3 linked regions of the Drosophila melanogaster genome follow. The protein of the gene in region 2 interacts with the protein of the main gene of each other region in a pairwise test. Each region holds a gene or a part of one and is shown on either strand. Other genes may lie near its edges. The genes, in order: CG15468, Rbpn-5 and CG31244.

What was found.
Region 1: the proteins of Rbpn-5 (region 2) and CG15468 interact in a two-hybrid assay, tested with the Drosophila melanogaster proteins (one large-scale study listed by BioGRID).
Region 3: the proteins of Rbpn-5 (region 2) and CG31244 interact in a two-hybrid assay, tested with the Drosophila melanogaster proteins (one large-scale study listed by BioGRID).

What each region holds. Positions count from the first base shown.
Region 1 is NC_004354.4:4,959,327-4,963,160, forward strand, and holds CG15468 (uncharacterized protein), read right to left. Parts: upstream 1,803-3,834; 5' UTR 1,752-1,802; coding exon 711-1,751; 3' UTR 603-710; downstream 1-602.
Region 2 is NT_033778.4:21,089,069-21,092,902, forward strand, and holds the start of Rbpn-5 (Rabaptin-5), read right to left. Parts: upstream 1,937-3,834; 5' UTR 1,859-1,936; coding exon 1,804-1,858; intron 1,744-1,803; coding exon 1,202-1,743; intron 1,147-1,201; coding exon 362-1,146; intron 298-361; coding exon 162-297; intron 104-161; coding exon 1-103.
Region 3 is NT_033777.3:19,396,930-19,400,232, forward strand, and holds CG31244 (uncharacterized protein), read right to left. Parts: upstream 1,639-3,303; 5' UTR 1,554-1,638; coding exon 588-1,553; 3' UTR 501-587; downstream 1-500. Other genes in the region: INO80 complex subunit, read right to left, coding at 1,810-1,977, 2,038-2,299, 2,364-2,704, 2,768-2,945, 3,076-3,216, 3,283-3,303.

The sequences.
Region 1 (3,834 bases), on a different chromosome or scaffold from region 2:
GCCCTCAGTACGCTATTATATAGTGGGTATTTATGTTTGTATGGTATGTGTATATGTTGCCGTTGTTGCTGCTGTCTGGTCGTCTGTGGAGCATCAAGGCACTGGGGCAGCGAGGCATCAAGTTCGCAATGGGCGACATGAGATGGCTAACACACACACACACACACACGCGTGTATCTGTATACAACAGCGAAAAGATAGAGCGAGTAGCAACCGCAGTTACTTTTGGCTACGACTGCATAGACAAGCCTCAATTAAGTTGCAATTGCAGTTGTTGCTGCTGTTGTTGCTGCTGCTGCGACTGCTGCTGCTGCTGCTGCTGCTTTGTTGCTGCCGGGGAAGCGTTGGCGGCATCGGAATTCCACTCTGGAGCTGCCCACGCGCGCGCTGCTCGGCTGCCTGTTTTGCTGATAAAGTCCGAAATGATGTACTACCCATGTGCTGGTGGCTCATTTTGTTTTTCTTTTCTTCATTCTTCATACTTCGTCTCTTTCGCTTTCCCATTTTCCACTCCGCCAGCCTGCTGCCTCCCACTAGCACTATTTTTTTCTTTTTTTTTTTATCCCAGCACAGGAGCGCACTTTTGCCCGCGTATTCGGTTTGCATTTTACATTTTTGTATTTATTTTTCTTTGCTCTTATTATAACTTAATGATTTTCCTATTTTATTTCCTAATGATAATGTGCTTTCTCTATGTGCCCTTGAAATTGTTATTTTGGATTATTGCTCCTTGGAACGGTGAACGTTTCGGTGGCATCAGTTAGCTCGGTTAGCTCAGTGTTGCCAGTTCCATCGGCGATTAGATTGGATTGACGCGGCGTGGTCGAGAATACGACTCCGAATCGTTGAGCCTTCATCTTGATCTGGTCCAGTCGCCCATCGATTTCGGAGAAAATTTCCTCGCTTAAAACCTTCAACTCGGCGATCTCGTAGCGAAAGTCGTTGATATGTCGAGCGATCAGGGCATGTCGTAGATATCGACGGCTATAGCGAAAGCCACTGGACATATTCGTTTTGGTCACGAGCAGGGCCATCTTTTTGGTAAGCTTGACGGCGGCCAAGGAGCGATGTCTCTGCTGGCAGTTGCTTAGATCGTTGGCGCACTCCTCAGTCCAGGCCAAGTGGACGCGGTTCTGTCCCCGAATATCGGCAATTCGTCGCTCTAGACACGTCCACGTTTCGCCCAAACTGCGCAACATATTCCGGAGGGCATCGTAGCGGCACAGGAGTTCGGTTAGTTGGCACTGAATGTGATGCTGGGCACGTTGAATGCACCGTATCTCCGATTGCTTCGCATTCAGGCCACTGCAGGAGATCGGATCCTCTGGCATTACCGATGGTTGGCTAATATCCTCCAATTGCTGATTCCTGCGGAGTTGACTACGCAATATATCGATTCTTTTCAATATCTCGTCCAGACCCTGAATGGTAATCAGGGTTTTTGTCTCCTCATCGGTGGTTATGCCCTCCTCGCCCATTCCGCATGGCAGTATTTCCATCTCCTCCTCCTGTGAGTCGGTTTCCTCATCATCTGGTACTCGATCCAAGGAAGGGCCTAACCTCTGATAGCCTGGCGAAATCATCTGCTCTCCTCCCAACTGACATTTGGTGGTCGTTCGCGCTATGATATCGATGTCCGCCAGATTCGCCTTGTGACAGTCGCCCAGATCGCGCAGCAGATGAAAATCCTCGTCGAGCGGATAATCCCTTGGTTCGCCATCATTGGTAGGTATCATCTTCACCTTATCCATTTTGTTTTTATTAATTTTTTTTTTTAACAAAGTGTAGATTTAAGTCTGGGTGTGTGTGCAATATGTGAGCGTTAAGGTAAAAAAAGCATAGCCCACTTAAATTGGGTTTTTCAAACTCTTAGTGATTCCTTAGTGATTTTAAAAACCACTCCAAACCGCTCCTGTCTTTTTGGCCCGGCGCTGATAAGAAAATTTATGGCTGCTCAGTTGCTCTGGCGGCATAATTGCGCACCCACATCCAAATCCGCAGAAACATCCACTCCACTCCACATGGAGTCCGGCAGTAGAAAACGAAAGAAAAAAAAACAAAAAGAAACAACGATGAGTAGGAAAAAACAAAAGAAAAGCAGAGAGCTGTGGGCCAGAGGCTTGTGGGCTGGCTTTTGGCGTGTGGCTTCAGCGGCAATTCTTCTAGTCAGCCCTCGCCTCCTTTCTTACCACGCTAGCCACCATTACCATTGAGCCACCATCAACTGCCGGCAGTTGACTTTGTTTACCCGCAAGTTGTAATTTTCTGCGAAAACCGTCAGCCGCAGAATTGCTTTTCTCCATCTCCATCTCACAAAGCTCAGTCTTCTGTCTCTGATAAATCCCGCTTCTGTCGTCTGTCTTCCACTCAGTCACCCCTGTTCGCCGCTTTTCCTTCTGGGCTCCTATTCCATGCTGCCCCTTTTCTTCAATTGCAATTGGTGCCCCCGACCGTGGTCTTGCGGTGATCTTTCTTCTGGGCCCTGCCTTGCTAATTGCTTGCCAGAGATTCGGGCCTCTACTGCATAGGACATCAGCCCAAAAACCATTCGAGGCAGTGAACAAAATTGAAGTAGCAAATCTTCTTCAGAAATTAGAGATATGATTCAAAATTTATAGGCCAGGCTCTATATAATCTTGCATTATTATATAAACGAACAATTGCTGAGTTATTTTTGTATGTCAGAGAAATATCCGAATATTGCGTTCAGTGTTTTTTCTTTTTCCACGCAACATCAGCGATTGACAGGCTTTTAGTCAACTTTGCTATTCCATTTGGAGCCATCTCACCATCGTGGCATCTGCTGAATGCTGAATTGTCACATGTGGAATTTCGCAGGTCTCTAAGAAACGTTTAGGCATGTGAGCTGCGCGATAGGATGGATACGAAGGCCCAAGAATGGGGTCAGGTTAAACAAATATTTGATGGAGCCTGGGCAGGCATTTAAATAACATGAAATATGCACTGAACTAGCTGCACATAGCTGCAAGAAATGAGACTGAGATGAGTCCAAAATAATTCCTGCAAGAAATGCGACTGAGATGAGTCCAAAATAATTCCTGCAAGAAATGAGACTGAGATGAGTCCAAAATAATTCCCACAACTTACTAATACTAATAATGTGCTTTATTTTATTTGCATTTCATGGGTGCAAAACAAAAAAAACAAAAAAAACGAATGAATTAAGAGGACTGGCGGCGTCGAGAACTATACCGCTAAGATGCCTAATTGCAACCAAGACGAGTAATGACCGATGATGGCCATAAAAGTTCACATGATCTGCTGATCTCCCGGAGGCCTTGGTCATGCAGGAAGTTCAAGTGCGCGAGAATGGGTATACGAACAAGGGGAACGGAGTAAACCCCCCCCCAGACATCCAGACATTCAGACATTCATATATTCCGACTTGAGTTGCCCCAAGTTGACTTGACTCTCAACCTGGCGCGGTCAAATCTTCGCAGCTCCGCAGCTTCGGTAGCGAAAATCAGCAGCACCAGCAGAAGACTCCGAAGAAGATAAGCGATCATAAAATAAAAATAATAGTAATAATAATAATAATGAAAAGCAACAAAAAAAAAAAAACAGAAAGAGAAACAACTGGGAGAAAACGAGTAGCGAATAATGCAATATACATTAGATATAGAACAAGTCTATAGAAAATTACGATTTATGTAACAAGTTGAGGAATTCAAGTGCATTTATTTCCGCATCTGGAACTAAGTGGAGAAGCCAGCGCATAAAAAATAATGCCAAACACCGACTGGATCGACATGGTGATATCCTGTAGAAAGAGTTTTTCATTCGCAGATTTCCAAGCCAAACCATCCACAAGTG
Region 2 (3,834 bases):
ATAGTTTGACAAAGTCCTTTTGAACAGTCTCCATGGTGGAGAGTTCCTCCTGTAGTGTTTTTATCTTCGTCTTGTAGTCTGCATTTGTTTTGGCGTACTTTTCCTGTAATGTGATCTGGTTAGCGAAGAATCAAGTGTGACAACAAAATATGATAGCTTACATTGGCCTCTTGCAGCTCAATGATCTCCACGCGACACTCGGAGAGCTGCTTGTTCAGCTCAGCCTCTTTGCGCTCCAGTTGGGTTTTGGTAGTCTCGTACGCTTGTACCGTGACCAAGTGTTCCGTCACCCGATCCCTGAAAATTCATTTAAAACGTGGGCCAAAGTGAACACCACCATAGACAAGAGGTTGTAACTTACTGCAGTGACTTAATATCTAGTTGCATTTTGCGCTTGTAGGCCCGCCTTTCATTGTTGCTCTCCTCCAGCTGGGCCCGCAAGATCTGAATCTCATCTTCAGTGCTGGTGCACTTCTGTCGCTCGTATTCGCTGCTGACGCGTGCTTGGATTAGCTCGCTTTGCTGTCGCAGTATCAGCTCCTGGAGCTCGACGACCGTGTTGGGCAGATTGATATATTGGTTGTCGATCTCCTCGGACGTGGCCAGATAGCGACCGGACAGAAAGTCGTTGTCCGCCTGCAACGTCTCCAGTTGCTTGTTGACCCGCTCTCGGTCGTCGGAGACGCGCTGGATCTGCTTAATAACCTCGTCCTTGGTCTCGAGAAACTTTTGCTGCATGTCCAGCAGTCGCTGCTCGTTGGTTTTGGCCTGGTCACGCAGGCTTTGTACTTCGCTTTTGTGGGCCTCCCGCTTTTCTTGCCACTGGTCCTCCAGATCCTTGCGCAATGCCGCCTCCTTAACCAGTGTCTCCCGGGATTCCACCAGCTGCTTTTGCAGCAGATCCACCTGTTTCTGCTGTTTGTTTATATGGGCACCCAGCTCTTCGGTCTTCTTTTCTGCCAAGCTGCACGACTCGCAGGCGCTCTCGGCGACGTCCATGGACGTGGACTTGTGCAGGGCGGATTCATCGGACGCCGACTTGGCCTGCAGTTGCTCGTCCTGTTCGCGCAGCTTCACTTTTAGTGCCTTCATCTCCTCCTGAAGCTGCTCGACAATTGAGTGCATCATCTCCGCCTCCTCAGGAGCCTGCAATATAAGCTCAGTTAATTTGATAGTTGAAAGATTAGTCCCGAAAACATACGTATTGCTTGCCATTGCCCTTGCTCGATGCCCGGGTGTCCTCGTCCTGCTGAAAGCTGCTGTTCAGGGAGTCGGTGCCCAGTTTACGCACAGAGCCTAGTGTCTTCTTGACCTGATTGAGCACCTGCGGCGCTATACCGCCAGATGACTCGGCCTGCGGTTGTTGAGCCATCGTCTGCTGTTGAATCTGCTGGTACTTGCCCAGCTCCAGCCTGAGCCGTTCCACCTCGCCTTTGTAGTGCGCGGTCTCCTCGATAGTGTCCTGCACCAGCTGCTGCAGCGAGGAGATCTCCTCCTGCGCCTTGAGGTCCCTCAGCTGCAGCTCGTTCTGCGACTTAAGGTCCGCCACCATTAGGTGTGTCTTCAGCTCGTCCAGCTCCGCCTGCAGCTGCCGTCGCTCCTGCTGGCTCTGGCTGACCTCCGCCTCCTTCTGGATGTACAGCTCCCGCATCTTCGCCCGCTGCGTGTTGAACTCGTTCTGCATTTTGCGCATCTCGTTCTGCAGGTGACTGAGTTTGTGCTGGCTGGTCGCGTCATCCTCACCTGCCGTTGGAGTTATGGGTTAGTTATCGGCTGTTCAGGCTTCCTGTGGTGCTGCCTTACCATTGGGCAGGTCCGTGGGTTCCCTGGCCTCTGACCGGGTCTCGTTTTCTTCCATTTTCTATATTGTGTGATGGCCAATTTATTAGTTTATATGTACATATGTGAGCGCACCAATTAGAACATATACATTTGAGCGATTTTCAACACTGCTCTTGGTGTTACCATATTTGAATAATACCGATAGTTAATACTTTAGTATTGCTTGGCAGTGCCGTTAAAAAAGGTTTTCAAAATCTAACTTTATTGAGCTTGATAAACATCTTTTGGGATTAAGTTTTCTATAGAAGTATAGAAAGTTTAAAATATTTACTTACAGATACTTGGTAAAATAGTTTTAATAATTTCCCTTCGCCAATTTGCAAATGTATTCTTATTTTATGTCCTTTTAATGTGTCCTTTTTAAGAACCCGTTTTATTAAGTTAAAAGTCGGAATCCTTTAAAATCACTCCTTTGTCCTTTTATATCTTAGTCTAAAATCTAAATCTAGATATTCCTCGAATTTTTTGTTATCATCAGCCATCAGGAACTATAAATAGAAAAAGAAAACAAATGGGTAAGGAATATAAATAAACAATACCATATAATTTAAATTTGTATAATGTTTATAATTGCATCTTAATCGTTCTTAATTATTTAGGATTTTCTTAAGCATTTCCTAGAAAGTGTTTCAACATTTGTGTGTAAGCCAAATGACAACGGCAGAATATATTAGACACAATTCTATGAAAAGGTAAATGACTGCCGATCATGAATGACTAATACCGTCAGTTCTTTTAATTTTATGCAAATTATTAAGCGCCAGAAACGCGAGAAAACGCTAAGAGCTGATAAATTATGAGAGGAAAATGAATACTTCAATAATGCCTAGCTAATGAGAAAACATATTTAAATATAACAATATAGCAAACTATTTGAGATAACAAAACTACGCGTTAACCAGAACAAAACTCGATTTCAGAATTTCGGCATCGGCTGAGGAAGCCGAAAACTTGACTAATTATAAAATTATCATGGCTGTACACTACCAGAAATTGGAAAACATTTTAGTCGATAGGTAAAAAATAATTGTACGCTGTAACTAATGTTAACTTTAAACATTTGTTAACCACCTTATAGCCAATAATATTAATTAAATCATAGCATTAGGCATTACATAGACCATTTTTTTCGTCAGTGTACGCTGAGATCCGTTGGGTCTTCTAGGTCTTGGACTTGTTGGCAGGCTTGTGAGCTCATGACTTTCGATGTCGTCATAGTCGGCAGCCGGAGATTCGTGGCCGATACAAATACTACAGCATTATGCCCAGCGACAACAGCAGCGATGTTGGCCAAAATATTTGGCGTCTGTTCAGTTCGCATTGGATTCAGGAACGAGGCGGTCGGAAGCGGGAAAAAAAAGTACGCGAAGAAATAAATACGCGGCGCCTTGGAATCGCGACGGCATTTCTACTTATAAACTTAAAAATAATACAAATATATAAGTACAACCGCCGCGATATATGTATGTGAACGGAACTTGAATAATGACCATAAAGTGCCCAATGTTTTGAGTTCCTACGGATATCAATTAGAAAATTGCAAAGCGAATCCATATAGATTCCCGGATATACCAAAAAAAAAACCGACCATGTCGCAAACCCAGAGCATAACACCCATTCCCAGCACACCGCCGCCTTCACGGCGGGCAAATCGACCGCCCAGGATCAACATCCACAATCTGACCAGCGGATCGGCAATGAGCCAGGCATCGATGCCACCCAGTGCCCAGCCACCCTATACGGCCCAAACGAACTTCACGGGCAATGGAACACAGGGACCCTACTGGCCACCAATGGCCAATCCCTTCGGATACGGCAACTTTATGACCAAGGGCTACGAGGGCTTCCTCGATATCACAAAGTCGGGCTTGAGCTTCGGCGAGAAGATGACCTTCGGCATGTACAAGTGGTCGCGCCGATGGTTCACCCACATCTTCCTCATCCTCATCCTGGCACTATACAATATCGGCGGTGCCGTTGTATTCCGCACAA
Region 3 (3,303 bases), on a different chromosome or scaffold from region 2:
ACCCGTCACCACCCCTTGCTCAAGATTCACCATCGATTGCCGCAGTGCATGAACAAGTAGTTTAGCAAATGAATACAAGAGCCACACAGGGTTTTTCCGCCACCGAGATCGGGACAATGGCAAAGGAATTTCTCTCTCTATACTGACGTGTAAAATATTGTCCCAAACCTGTCTATAAATCATCAAATGAATGGGGAACAATTACTATAATGTAGAGAACTAAGAGCTAAGCCTGCATATGAAAAAATATAAAACATTTTGGAAGAAGTCATAGTACTATATTTAAAATTTATTTGACTTTCCAAATTAGTCACCGCTTATATATTCGACGTTTGAGTACCTACTCAAAGCAGTCCCAATTATAATTACGCTCTCATATGTGAAAACATATGGCTATTTTTCGTACTTGAATAGAGTACTGATCAAAACACACTTTAAAAAAAAATAGAGAAAACATTCTTTACAATAAACTATACAAATAGTTTATACGATAAAGTTCTAGAGGGTCATTAAGAGTTTTGTATTACGGATAATTTAAACTTTTGATAATTTAAAATTACTTGTGATTTTTGCCGAACTGACTTGAACTACTGGACACGCACATTGTCATAGATCTTTACGACATCTATGTCTTGAAGAAGGTTTTTACGAAACTCCTGATAGCGGGCCATTTGACGATCATTTAACTCGACGAGCGGCTTGTTTGGACAGTGTCCAACCTCCTTATGTACAATCTTGTAGTTGCACTGCCTGAGTTTGTACGCGACCTCTTGCAGGTCCAGAGGCCGACATTTGAACAAAACAGATCCTTTGGCCAAATCGGTAATGGTACTATCGGTGGCTTTGCACCACAAAGCATCAATTCGCAACGTTTGATTGAATTCCTCAAAGCTTAATGGTGTTACGCTCGGCAATGTGGCCTCAATCAAGCCAGTTTCGTTGAATAAATGTCGATTGAAGAAGCGCGCTTTGTTTTGCCGCAGTAAGGAGGCCAAGCGAAGTTTCAGTTCGGGGAGATTATCCGTCCTGATCTTGCAAACCATGGCAACCAATTGCCGCCCATAGTCCATGGGTATACTATAGGTGTGATGATTCCTCTCGCTCAACTCGCACTCCTTCAGAATTCGCTGCACTCGACTGTACGGCAATTGCAAGGGCGACAGTCGAGCCCTCAGCTCGTAGTTCTTGTCGGGATCTATGGAACCTCCCCCACGATGCACCGCTAATCGAAGCTCGTTAGCCAGTATTAACTCATCTGTCGTATCATGATCAAACTGCGCCTTTTTGGAGCTTAGTGGAACGCTGGTAAAGCCGGTCTTACTCGGGCTCCTTTCCCCATACATCGGAGCCCATCGTACTCGCTTTACGCTCGGTATCTCTGGATTATCCAGAAGCTCCAAGTCCAGCCCATTACGCTTATCGTTCTCTAATTTCGGGGAATCACTACGGATTAGGTTCGGCTTTGGTCTGTAGGGAGTAACGCTGGACTTGAGCTGAGGAAGTTTCGTAGTCTTGGTCCTGTCCATGGGTTCTAAACAGCTGTTGTTATGCATTTGAAATGAACTTGAAATTTGGACTACTTAAAGTTATTGTTGAAAATGAATGGATTTGACTAATACAATAGAAATTTCGGAGAGCGTATGAGTGAAAAGTTTTTAAAAGGCACTAATATAAATTCACAATGTGATTTCAAGAAAAAATTAAACGAAATCGAAACAAGGGACAAACTTTTTTGAAAGGCACGGTAAAAAAAATTGATATTGTACATCAATATACATAAATGAAAAAGTAAGTATAATATGAACTCACCGTATCGGCGGCTGTTAAATTAATTCCCAGTCCTCCGGCTCTCGTAGACAGTAAGAACACGAAGATATCTGCTCTCGTTTGAAAATCGGCAACCATATCGCGACGAGCGGATATCTTGCTTGAGCCATCCAGGCGCATATAGCGATGCTTGCGGTGCCACATGTACTCCTAGACATTTTATCAAAAAATTAAACTGAACAGTGATCGTTTCAAGTTTAATAAACTTACCTCGAGCAGGTCTATCATCTTGGTCATCTGCGAGTATATGAGTACTCGATGTCCATTCGCCTTCAATCGAGTTAGCAAGTTGTCAAGAACAAAAAGCTTACCAGCATCGGTAATCAGGGTTTCCTTGTCGGGCACCACAATCGAGGACCATCCACCATGAGGCTTGCACAAGGCCAATCCACTGGAGACAAGCTCCCTGCCCTGGCTATTCTCACACTGATTGTGGCGAATCTGGGACCACGCTGCAGATCGACTATCGCAGCTAAAATTGATATAAAAAAAGTTAAAAACCTGGATCGGTTTCGATGAATCCATTTGAAACTTACTATAAATATCTATGCACAGCTTGAACTTTTTGTCCCAAATCGTAAAGTATTCGTGGCATGGAAAGCGGTTCGCATACGTATTTTCTTGGCTTTCGTGGGCGATGCGGAAACTCTGGTAGCAGCAGCAGCGTCGTCACCTTAACATCGCTTTTGGCATTCGACTTTGTTTGCACCTCCACAGACTCGATTTCCAGCTTTTGCTTGGACACATCCTCCATCTCCTCGATTAGCGACGTTTTCTTCTTCAGAATCTTTGACCGAATTACACGGTGTTCGATAGTTTCCTGCATATTGTACGTAAAGTAATCGCCAAATGCGTAAACGCTGCTTTCGTTGGCGGTCTTTAAGCATAAATCATTGTATAAATTGTTCGAATAAAAATTTATAAATATAAATAATTATACCATTGCTGTGAATATGAAGTTCTTAAGGACACTGTTTGGTGGCATATAGTCGAGAGCTAGTTTGTTTTCCAACATCGGCTCCAGCAGTTGATATCTACTGTCCGGCTGCTTTTTCCACCAAAAGCGACGGTAGGCCAGCAGTGGGTATTTCTCCAAAACTCTTCGATAATGCAAAAGACTGTAGAAAAACAAACGTAAGTATTGTAAGTATTTAACCATTTGTTATTATCAAACAAAGGAGCACGACATTTGCGAATTTTGCTATTATAAACATGTTACTTACAGGTAAAGGGTATAGGAATACTCACAAATCTATCAGTCCATTTAAAGTTACTTCTACCATATCTCCCACAGATAAATCGCAAAGCCGGGTAAATCCGAAGCAACTATTCACGTTCACATCCTCAAAGAGAGACCTCTGTATGTATTCCGATTTGAAGATATTGAACCTGCAAATGGGCAGTCAAGGATTAAAAATTCAAATATGATAAAATGTTCAAAACCTATCCACTTACCGGTTATAGAGCAAGTGCTTT